2 linked regions of the Drosophila melanogaster genome follow. The protein of the gene in region 1 interacts with the protein of each later gene in a pairwise test. Each region holds a gene or a part of one and is shown in the gene's direction. Other genes may lie near its edges.

Evidence for each region. Proteins that work in one complex are often made in the same cells at the same time.
Region 2: the proteins of mRpS31 (region 1) and CG33469 interact in a two-hybrid assay, tested with the Drosophila melanogaster proteins (one large-scale study listed by BioGRID).

The regions. Positions count from the first base shown.
Region 1 is NT_037436.4:16,002,569-16,007,997, forward strand, and holds mRpS31 (mitochondrial ribosomal protein S31), read left to right. Parts: upstream 1-2,624; 5' UTR 2,625-2,721; coding exon 2,722-2,759; intron 2,760-2,823; coding exon 2,824-3,279; intron 3,280-3,345; coding exon 3,346-3,982; 3' UTR 3,983-4,031; downstream 4,032-5,429. Other genes in the region: hzg (herzog), read right to left, coding at 1,331-1,412; mib1 (mind bomb 1), read right to left, coding at 4,165-4,305, 4,365-5,429.
Region 2 is NT_033778.4:14,604,319-14,609,135, reverse strand, and holds CG33469 (uncharacterized protein), read left to right. Parts: upstream 1-2,833; 5' UTR 2,834-2,960; coding exon 2,961-3,443; 3' UTR 3,444-3,484; downstream 3,485-4,817. Other genes in the region: Su(var)2-HP2, read left to right, coding at 1-1,238, 1,303-1,719; CG33468 (uncharacterized protein), read left to right, coding at 2,177-2,207, 2,275-2,762; CG12868 (uncharacterized protein), read left to right, coding at 3,936-3,969, 4,031-4,500.

The DNA.
Region 1 (5,429 bases):
CACAACTAGTTTGATTGTGCTCTCCCTCTTGCTATCTCTCGTTTTATACCGGTTTTCCTGTATTTTTCTCAACTTTTTTTTACGTTTTTTACCTTGCTTTTTAGTGTGCAATTTAATTGGCAGTTTCTATTGTTGGACCCTCGAAAGTAAACATGCAAAGGCAGTTAGGCAGTTAAGCGAACGAAAAGAAAATAAGATGGGAGGAAAGTAAAGGCTTTCGTGTCGAAATTCCATGACGTCACATGTGCCGAAAGACGTCATCAATTGATTACAGGTGGGAGTGGGCCAGTGGGTGGCAATTGGGCGATGGGCGGTGGGTGGTGGCTGGCTGGTGGCAGAGTTGCAACTGCGTCGCAAAATAATTCAATAACCACAAAGCGAAGCCAGCAAGTGGTTAGATCATTCACAATGGCCAACGAACAAGAAAACACTGTGTGCTGAATAAAAAAGGGGCGAAACAAACACAACAGACAGGCACAACTGGCGTGAAAATAACACTATTATTAAGTATTGTTATTCATCGCAGTGAAAACCTGTGCAAGCCCATTTATTTAAATGTAAATGCATGACTGGGGACATTTTTGATTAATAAATTGATACCTTTGAATATTTAAAGGTAATTTTTGCTAGCATAGTACAGTTATCAAAGTCGAACAATCTATTAAGAAAACATAAGTCTGATTTTTACACAATAATGTGTCTATAAATTCAAACTCCTAGTCTACCTTGAAAGTAGAAAAAGTACAGACATTTAAAATGGAAATTAGATTCCCAATTAAAGAAAAGAAATTGCCATTTAATTGGTTTCAAATTACAGAAAGTACAGCAAACTGGTCACAGTCGTGCAAACAGATAATAGCTAACGTTAATTTAAATATTTAGCTTAGACAGAATTGAACAACTTTTTCCAGCTACAAGTTAATTGCATGTTGTTTGAATATATTTTTCGAATTAAAAGCACTTTTGTCTTTCATCAGTTTGTTTTTGGAGTGGTTCCTGTACAAATTAAAAAGGCCAATGCCATTTAACTTGCTGCTACTTTCGGAAAGTACGACATATGTACAACTAACTTATTCCCACAATTATATTGACCGCAATTGGGTGTGTTAGAAAGGTCAGCGGGGTGTTGGGCCCTCTTCTTTGGGAGGTTATGGTGGGTGGTGGTTGGTAAGTGGGGGAAACTTCTTGGCAGCGGACAAGTGTCCTTTCGTCTTTGTTGTGACGCCTTCGAGTGGCGATGAGTCATGAAGGGAGCTTTAAATATATGTATGTGTATGCGGACTGCGTTTTCAGCGATTTCCCCAGTTTGGCCCCCATTATTTGTTCTCACCTTTGTCATTGGGATAGCTGGGATAGACGTTCAGTTGCTCGTCGTCGCGGGAAACTTGCGTTATTATTGATGTTGCATCCATTTAAGCACTCGGTTTGTGGCTCCACTTCGCTTAACAGGTTGATAAATCGGATTCGGATTCAGATACTGATTCAGATCGGTTTCGTATAGGATAGCTGCAAAATGTTGCGCACACATGAGAGATAGAGATACATTGGATATGGCAATTATCGCGAGATGATTCCATGTTTTCTTCGTATATATGGTAAGTGTCGTGCAGTATATATGTCGTACATATATAATACATCTACCACGTATATATAGCTCACACACACACACATGCACCAATTGATAGCCTGCCCCAGACAGTGGAATTTTACAATTACGCTTTGGCCGTCCGTTCGCTTCGTTTTATTTCTCGATGCAAATGGGTTTCCCTTTGATATTCACCTCGCTATTTATCGCTCTCTCTTTCGCTCTGTTGCACTTTCGCCTCTCTGTTTTAGTAAATTTAAAACTTTTCAACGAATTTCAATAAAAAACACTTTCTTTCTTTCCTTCGCTCTTGTTTTTGGTTGCGCTCATTCTTTTACTTCTTTATCCGCGTCTGCTTTTCGCACACAGCTTCGCAGCGTTTTATTTATAAACGCCCACACAGACACAGCACTCACACACACTCTCGCACGCACACTAGCTCGGCCGCTGGTGTTTTCGTTATTTCGTCTCGTTATTTATTTATTTTTTTTATTTTTTGCCATTAATTAATCGCGCAAAATAACAAAACGCGTGTGTACGTCGAAAAAAAGTAACAGGAATAGCGCAAAAAACAAAACGTGTGATTAGTGTGACCGCGGTGGATGCGAGACTTATTACCAAGTGCAAAGAAAAAGTGGTAACATTTCGTGTTTACCTTAGAATCACAGGTTGAAGAAAGGCTTGATTATAAGTTAATTACTTACAAGGAGAATGTAGAATTCTATAAAAGGAGCTTGTTTTGAACTACATAATTATTTTCATAGATTTCCAAATTCGATAATCAAAGGTCATACTATCTGGTGCAATTTGGGCTGCCAACTGTGGTCAAGTTAATCTATAAAATTCTTGATTCAAAATGCAATTTTAAGAACATTTTATTTCAAATTATATCAAATCAGATAAAAAACAAATGTCCATGAAATGATTAGGTTAGTTAAGGATATTTTCAATCAAAACACTATAAGAAATAGGACAAGGGAAGCCAAACATAAAATAAAGCCAAATTTAACTATAAACTAGCTTAAACGGCAGTGCAAACAGTTCATCTGGTCTGGCAACTCTCCGCCGAATTGTTGTTACGCGAGCGATTTCTTTGGTCTTATTTCTAGTTAAAATTATCAAAGAAATATTATAAAATGTTGGCCGTACGAAGTTCCCAGAGATTGGGCCTACGGTAGGCCACCCGTCTAATTTGAAATAACCAAAAGAAATCCGTCACTCGACTATTTATTTTTCAGTTCCCTGCTACCGTCTGCCTTCAAAAACGTGGGATTGGTCAACTACTCCTCTTCGCAGTCCAAAAACGACGATGGATACTCCTCTTCGGACGACGAAAAGCCCACGAAGAAGAAGGAGGAACCTGTGGAAACGGCGGCCCAGCGGCTGAACCGCCTGTTGGGCACCATGCAGGCCACGGATCAGCTCTCGGCATCGGACTTTCCACGTCCTGGTGATGCCAACAGGAAGCGGAGGGAGGCCCAGAAACAGGAGGCAGCCGCCAAGAATGTTCTAACTGCGGCCAAGAACATTGCTAGCATGCTGGGCACCAGTGAGAGCGACAAGAAGCAGACAGAGTCTGAGCTATTGGCCAAACTCCTTGGCCATGGAAGCGAGTCCTCTTCAGCAGCGACCGGAGAAAATCAGACGGCGGATGTTTCGGGATCTCCTTCTGGTGATAAGGAACTCAATCTGAGGTGTGTAAAAATGATTTTCTCGCATTAATGGATAATCTAATAAAATTTATTTTCCTTACACAACAGTGATATTATCGTGGGCATGAAGATCGATCGTCGTCAGCAGCCGCAGCAGGTGGAGCAGACCCGCGGCGAGTACGTTCGCCGCTCGCTGGCTTCCAGATTCAAGCCACAGAATCGAGATGGGGCTTATCAGCGGTCACAGAGGCAAACCAAACGAGAGGCTGAATCCTTTACGGGCAGTGTCAATTTGTACGGCGGGGAACCGTTGGGTATCTTCAAGGATACCCAGCTGCCGATTTCCAACGACATCCTTTCAACCTGGTCACAGCTGAGTGAGCGGGAGCTTAGTTTACAAGCTTCCCATCCCCCGGCAAACTACTTCGAGCAAATGGTCCTGTGGACGGATCAAAAGAAGGTGTGGCGCTTTCCCATCAACAATGAGCAGGATTGGGAGGACGAGCATAACGTGGACTTCTCGGAACACATTTTTCTGGAACAACATCTCGAGGATTGGTGTCCTAGCAAGGGGCCTATTCGCCATTTCATGGAGCTCGTCTGCGTCGGCTTGTCCAAGAATCCCTACTTGACTGCCCAGGAGAAGAAGGATCACATTTTCTGGTTCCGTGACTATTTCCAGGCCAAGAAGGACATTCTGAGGGATCTGATTAGCAAGGAGCCAAGCAAAAGTATTTCTGCTTAATGTTTTTGTTTGAATATTTGTTAAAAATATATTTTTGCTTTATAAGACCAATCCGATATATAGTTATATATATGATATTGTGTGTGTATATATGTGTGTATAAGAATGTGAGTCCTTTAAATATCCTAATACTTCGAAGGCTGTGCAGACTGTGCGCGGAATGTGTGAACCGGGAACGGGCTTCAGAAGAGCAGGATGCGTTTTTCCACGGTCTTGCGGCAAATGGGACACCCCTCAATCTGGTCGCCACACATCTGGCACGTGCCGTGGCCACATAGGAAGACCATGTTCTTTATGCGGTCAAAGCAGACAGGACACATAGTCTATAAGATAAATTTGAGGATCAGTCACTGAACATATTTTCAATCTTATTTGAGCTCACCTGTTCCTTGATGTCCTGCAACTGCTGCTTCAACTTTTGGACATCATCCATCTGGAAGTTGTTGACATTGGAAGGAGCCACCATCGCGTTTCCAGCTGCTGACAGATTCGAGACATTCGAAGAGGCTGCTGCAGCGGCCAGGAGATTATTCTGGCTATTCAACTGATTGCTGCTGCCCGCCACTGGAGTAACCACGGTGTTGTTCATGGCCACGCTATGGCCGGAGGCATTGGCACAAGCTGCCGCTGCTGCAGCTTCCATGAAACGATCGTCGGGCAGTGGCAAGCCCACTGTTGCCATCGCTCCAGCTGCCACGGACACCTTCTCCGGTCGTCCACTACCTCCGCAGCAAAGGCTGAACGATAATATCTCATCGATTTGCGTGCGACACAGGACGCACTTTTTCATCAAAGCACTGCAGTGCTCACATGCGACCATATGGCCACAGGGGCGGAAGAAGACGGCTGCCCTGCGATCCGAGCACACCAGACACTCGTCGATCTTTTCGCGCGAGGAGACGGTCTCCCGACAGATGAGGCATTTCTTCACCCTCGGAGCGCAGGTCTCGCAGCAACTGACATGGCCACAGGGCTTAAAGACCGTATCCCGCTTGGCATCCGAGCAAACCAAACACTCATCAAGACTGGCTGACGATTTCGGAGGATCCTCGTGCAGGGACTGGCTCATTTCGTTGGCGATGCCGTTGAGGGCAAATATGGAAGATGATGAGGCAGCTGGGAAAGTGGATGAGGCAGCTAGGCTGGAAAGCGGCATATTGACTGAGGAGGACTGATTTAAGCTACCACTGGCTGCTCTTGCCCTGGCACTCGAACTCGTTCCAGCTACATTTCCGGGCAACTCAGAGTCGTCGGTCTTCCTTTCGTTGTAGCACTTGACCAGGGTCTTGCAGAGATTGGGATCTGGGCACAGGTCCAGTGGGGTCTGCTGCTTGCGATTCTTTAAGGTCAAATCAGCTCCATTGGCAGCCAAGAAGCATGCAATCGAAGCAGAGGCCTTCTTGTTATTAGCATTTCTCAGGCCCATCAAGAGCTTACCAAATCCTTC
Region 2 (4,817 bases), on another chromosome or scaffold:
ATGCCATTGGGCAGACCAAGATGTACTCATTTCTCTACCCGAAACGTTACAAGCAATCCTATGACGACGTCGGTCTAGACTTCTGCTGTCCAAATCTCGATGGACCAATGCGGGCTATTGATTTTACTCGATTGCATTCGAAGGCCGAGGTACCGGTGCTGGAAATCCCGCAGTTCCTGGTTATAACCACCAAGTTTATCTCTAAGGCGGATAAGAATATGCCAAGTAAGGTGCGGGCAAAGCTGGAATTACTGGACAAGTCGAAAGAACGGGATTCCAGTAAACTGACCCCGACGGCTACCACTCCGACTGCTGATCCCACCGGTCCTTCATCCTTTTCACCTGCTCCCGCTTCGGTTGGTCCGGCAACTCAACCGTTTCCATCGATTATACAGAATTTGCTATCGGCTCCCCTACCTGATCCAGGTCTATTTAATCATCCCACAACCGTGGACCCATCTACTTCCACTCCCGTAGTTTCAGGCAGTTCCTCTTCCACTACCATTTCGGCGGACTTGGATTCTTTAAGCAAACAGTTGCCACGTGGCACAAAACTGATCAAGAAGTCAGTGCAACAAGTGGCTACCAATCCCTCATTAGCCGGCACCTCGATGGTAATTAATGCGTCGCCGTCCTTTATTCAGTTACCTCCGATTTGCCCCAACGACAAGCAGCGCGTGGAGTTGCAGGCGAGGGTTCAAATGTTTGACTTGGTGCTCCAGACCCTCAGCCGGCGGGCAGCCAACTTATCAGTGGCCGAGCGACAGCGTACCATTGAGGAAATTGTAAGGACCAGCTCGTTAATGGCCATCGACGTGGATGTGGGTACAAAGCTTTTGGAAAACTATGTACATTACTTAAACAAGGCTACCAGCACAATGACTCCTCTAACCCCGGCCCAAATCAACTCGAGCTTAGGCGCTTCCACCAGCTCGACGCTTTCCAAAAGCATAGCCACCTCCGACATCCCACAGCAAGGGAAGAAAATATCTGCGGACCATGCCCAACAGCGGAGTTCTCTCCCCGCTACCATTCCCCTTTACGATGGGGGCAGGAACACACTTGGCTTTCCGTATAGCTGCTCGAAATCGACGGCAGGGCGAAAGTCTTCATATGTTGCCACCAGCACGCCTGTGAAAGCCTCCACATCCCAAGCAGCAGCAGCAGCAGCTCTAGGAAACGCTCAGCCAAGATCCACGTTGGGGATCCCGAAAAGTGTTCGGGAAGACGCTAGTCAGGTAGTTATTATTTACGACAAATATTTATGTGGTCATTAATAAACAATTTATTGTTCCTAAACAGTTCGTTAATCTCAACACAACAGTGTGTATGCCAGCACCAAGGACGAATGCCAAGAAAAAACCAGGGACTTCGGGCCCTTTAAAGTCGATGAATTCTTCACCAGCTGTGCAGAAACCGGCGCTGTGCAAACAGCAGACGGCGCCGGCAAGAACTCTGTCCAAGAGCACAGTCTCATCCGTTGCACGAGCGAAATCAACAGGGTCTTTAAGTGCAGTGTTGGGTGAGACTCCTGCTGACGAATTCGTATCCCCCGCCGGAATGAGTCTGAGTACCACCGGAAATCCGAATGTCTTCATCATTAACCACGCGGTGCAGTCAGAGGAAAGCATCCTGCCTGACTCCAACAGCAGCGTAGGGCACATGGAAACGACGGTGATCAAAGGCGAGCTGGATGATTCTGCGGAGATTATTATATAGCAGGGCAAAGACTATAAACCAGTTGGAAAGTATTCTAAGTTACTTTAGCACAGTTAATTAAGAGTTAATTATTTCGTTGAACGCAAAATCATAATTTTGTAATTCTGAAATGAAGAATTTGTTAAACCTTACGCAGCATCGTCATTTTTTTTTTTTTTTTTTGAAATAAATGGTTAAATATTTTATTCAGTGTGGGACTTTCAAGTAAATATCTTATAGTTATCATTGCATATTTATTAAGTATCCAAATAAAATATAAATATAAACATTCTAACATTTTTTTATATAAGCCGAAACGCATAAATCGTGTAAAATAAGAAATAAGAAAAATTACATTTCGTTCGAAGCTTTTGGAGCCATTGGCGAAATCTTAAAGCTCTTGTGAAATATTACAGAGCGATAAGTATAAAAGTTGCGCAGGGGAAAAACCGTTTCTATTAACAACAAATTTTTCAAGATGACAACATCTGCTGTTGAAGCTCCCAATAGTAAGTTTAGTTAAAACTTTACAGAGGCATATTATAATGATGCACATATGTATATAATAATCTACAGGTGCATATCCCGATTTAGAAAAGCGACTGGAAAGGTATTTGCGAAGTGTGTTTTGCCTAAAGGAAATCGATACTAAAAATGAGTACATTCCAACCGAAGTGGAGTACTTTGGAGTTCTGAGTTTAAGCGATGTTCGAGCGCCTCGCCGAAAACTGTGGTACATGTACTATGCGACAACAGATCAGGTGGACAAAACTGTGGATCAGATCCATCGTAAATATGGCCAAAAGAATATGTACGAGCTGTTCAGAAAACCGGTATATACAGGGGCTGGAATGCGATCCCGTGTTAAGAACCACTTTAAAGGGCTTAAGTGGCACGTAAAAGGAAACATTTTGGAAGCCCCGCTAGGTAGCTCCCTTAATGATGAGAAAGTGGTTAACACAATTGCAGATTTATATCAGAACGAAAGGAGAAGATACTTCGATTACCTTATGTCTAGGAGTAATCTGTATAAATCGTGTACATATCGAAACATAAATGCATAAAATATTTTCATTTATGTATAAGACTTTCTAGAATAAAGCTTTAAAATAATAAATGCCAATAAATGCTAACCAGTATTCTTTTAACGCTTGTTGAGGTAGGAAGGCAAAATTGCCGCACACTTATCAATGGGCAAAGCCTATGAATCACCTTAAGTTTTCATCTGATTATATTTCTTAATAGCAGGGAATATTAGCAACATGGACGATAAATTGGAAAAGTACTGGAGACGTCTATTTTATATGAAGTCAGTTGCAGAACCTACGTCGTTGGATGCTGATACGATAGAATATTTCGGAATATTCAGTATTGACGAACCAAATGTCGCTGCCCAAAAACGGTGGTACATTTATTATGGCCTTAGATTAGAAAGGTTAAAGGTTCTGGAAAGGATTCGAAAGAAATATGGCAATAGGAATGTCAGAGAAATATTTCAGATCGCCACATTCAGCGGAGTGGGATTTCATAAAGTCGTCAGAGAATATTTCTCCAACTTAAAATGGTTCACAAGCAGAAATCAATTGGAAGCTCCACTAAATAGTTATTATAATGATGAAAGACTAGTGAAAACTGTTTCGGACTTGCATAACAAGGAGCAAAAAAGAATCTTTGACTATATAATGATACAACACGCCTGGTTTGAGCGGTATAATGATCAAAAACCACCTCCTGCTAAACATTAAACTAACTAAAAACATCGACTTACAGTCGACATCTGTTGACTAAAAGCGGCATGTGTATTTGTTGATAGGGGGTATTATTATACATTTTACAACCTATTGGTCAAGTTAAATGATTTATAAAAATATGTCGAATAAAATATATACACACACAAGTAGCTTGCGGTTATAATATAGTAGTACATAATAGTATATACCTTGGAGTCTAAAGACACAGTCATCCGATCATCCTAATCAACAAACATAAACACCCTAGTTGTCTGCATTAATAGGTATTAAAAAGAAACAAGCGCATTAAAAGCTCACTGTTTTTTGATAGGCCACAGGGTTGCTTCAAAAAGCTCTTTTGTTGTGAAATTGGAAATCGTAAACAAAACGAAACAAACTTTATACAAATCAGTTGAAATCGTATTTGTTGGGTATTTAATAAGAGTGCGTAGGAAGTTAACACGCATTCAGAAGTCAGAGAAGCAAGAGTCACCTCGTTATTAAAATATGACAACGAATTCAGTAACTGATAAGAACACGGGTAATTAAAACGGCAAATTATTTATTTGGAACATCAACGATGATTAACAACCGATTCGCAGAAGGAGATTACAACCTGGATGAGGAAATCGACAGCCATTTGAGAAAATTGTTCTGTCTAAAACCAAAAGCTGAAACACCCAAACTCAATCCCTACATAGTAGAATTCTTTGGAGTTCTTAGCTTGACAGATCTCCGTGCCCCACAAAGAAAACTATGGGTCATATATCACGCCAAGCAGCCTGATCTGGACAAGACCGTTGATGAGATCCACGAGAAGTATGGCAAGAAGAATATGTTTGATCTGTACCGCACACCAGTTTTCAGTGGAGTTGCTCTGCGGGACAGTGTGAGAAAGCACTTCTCGAACCTAAAGTGGTTTACGACGGGAAATCTCCTGGAAGCCCCACCTAAAAGCCACTTCAACGACGAGCGAGTGGTGAAAACCATCACGGATCTGCATCATCTGGAACACCAGAGACTATATAATTATGTGATGGTGAAGAATATGTGGTCTATGCGGTATCGCTAAACTAACCTGTGATTTAGGATTAAATTTGTATATGACTATCTAAAAGCAAGAATAATAAATTGTACTATTACAAAATCCATATAACATAATGGTTTGCTAACCAATCAAATAGTATTGTTTTCTTGTAGTACAAATTTTGTTTATTTTCCTATATTTCGTTGAATAAAGTACATAATAATTATGCTGATTTAATTTGTTAAATATATTCGATAACATTAAATAAATTCCGCTTGTGTTTTTTTTTTCTAAATGGATGACAACGCCGCATAAGGGTTAAAGTGCCAATCGATAACGCACGTCCTCACCTATCGCCACCC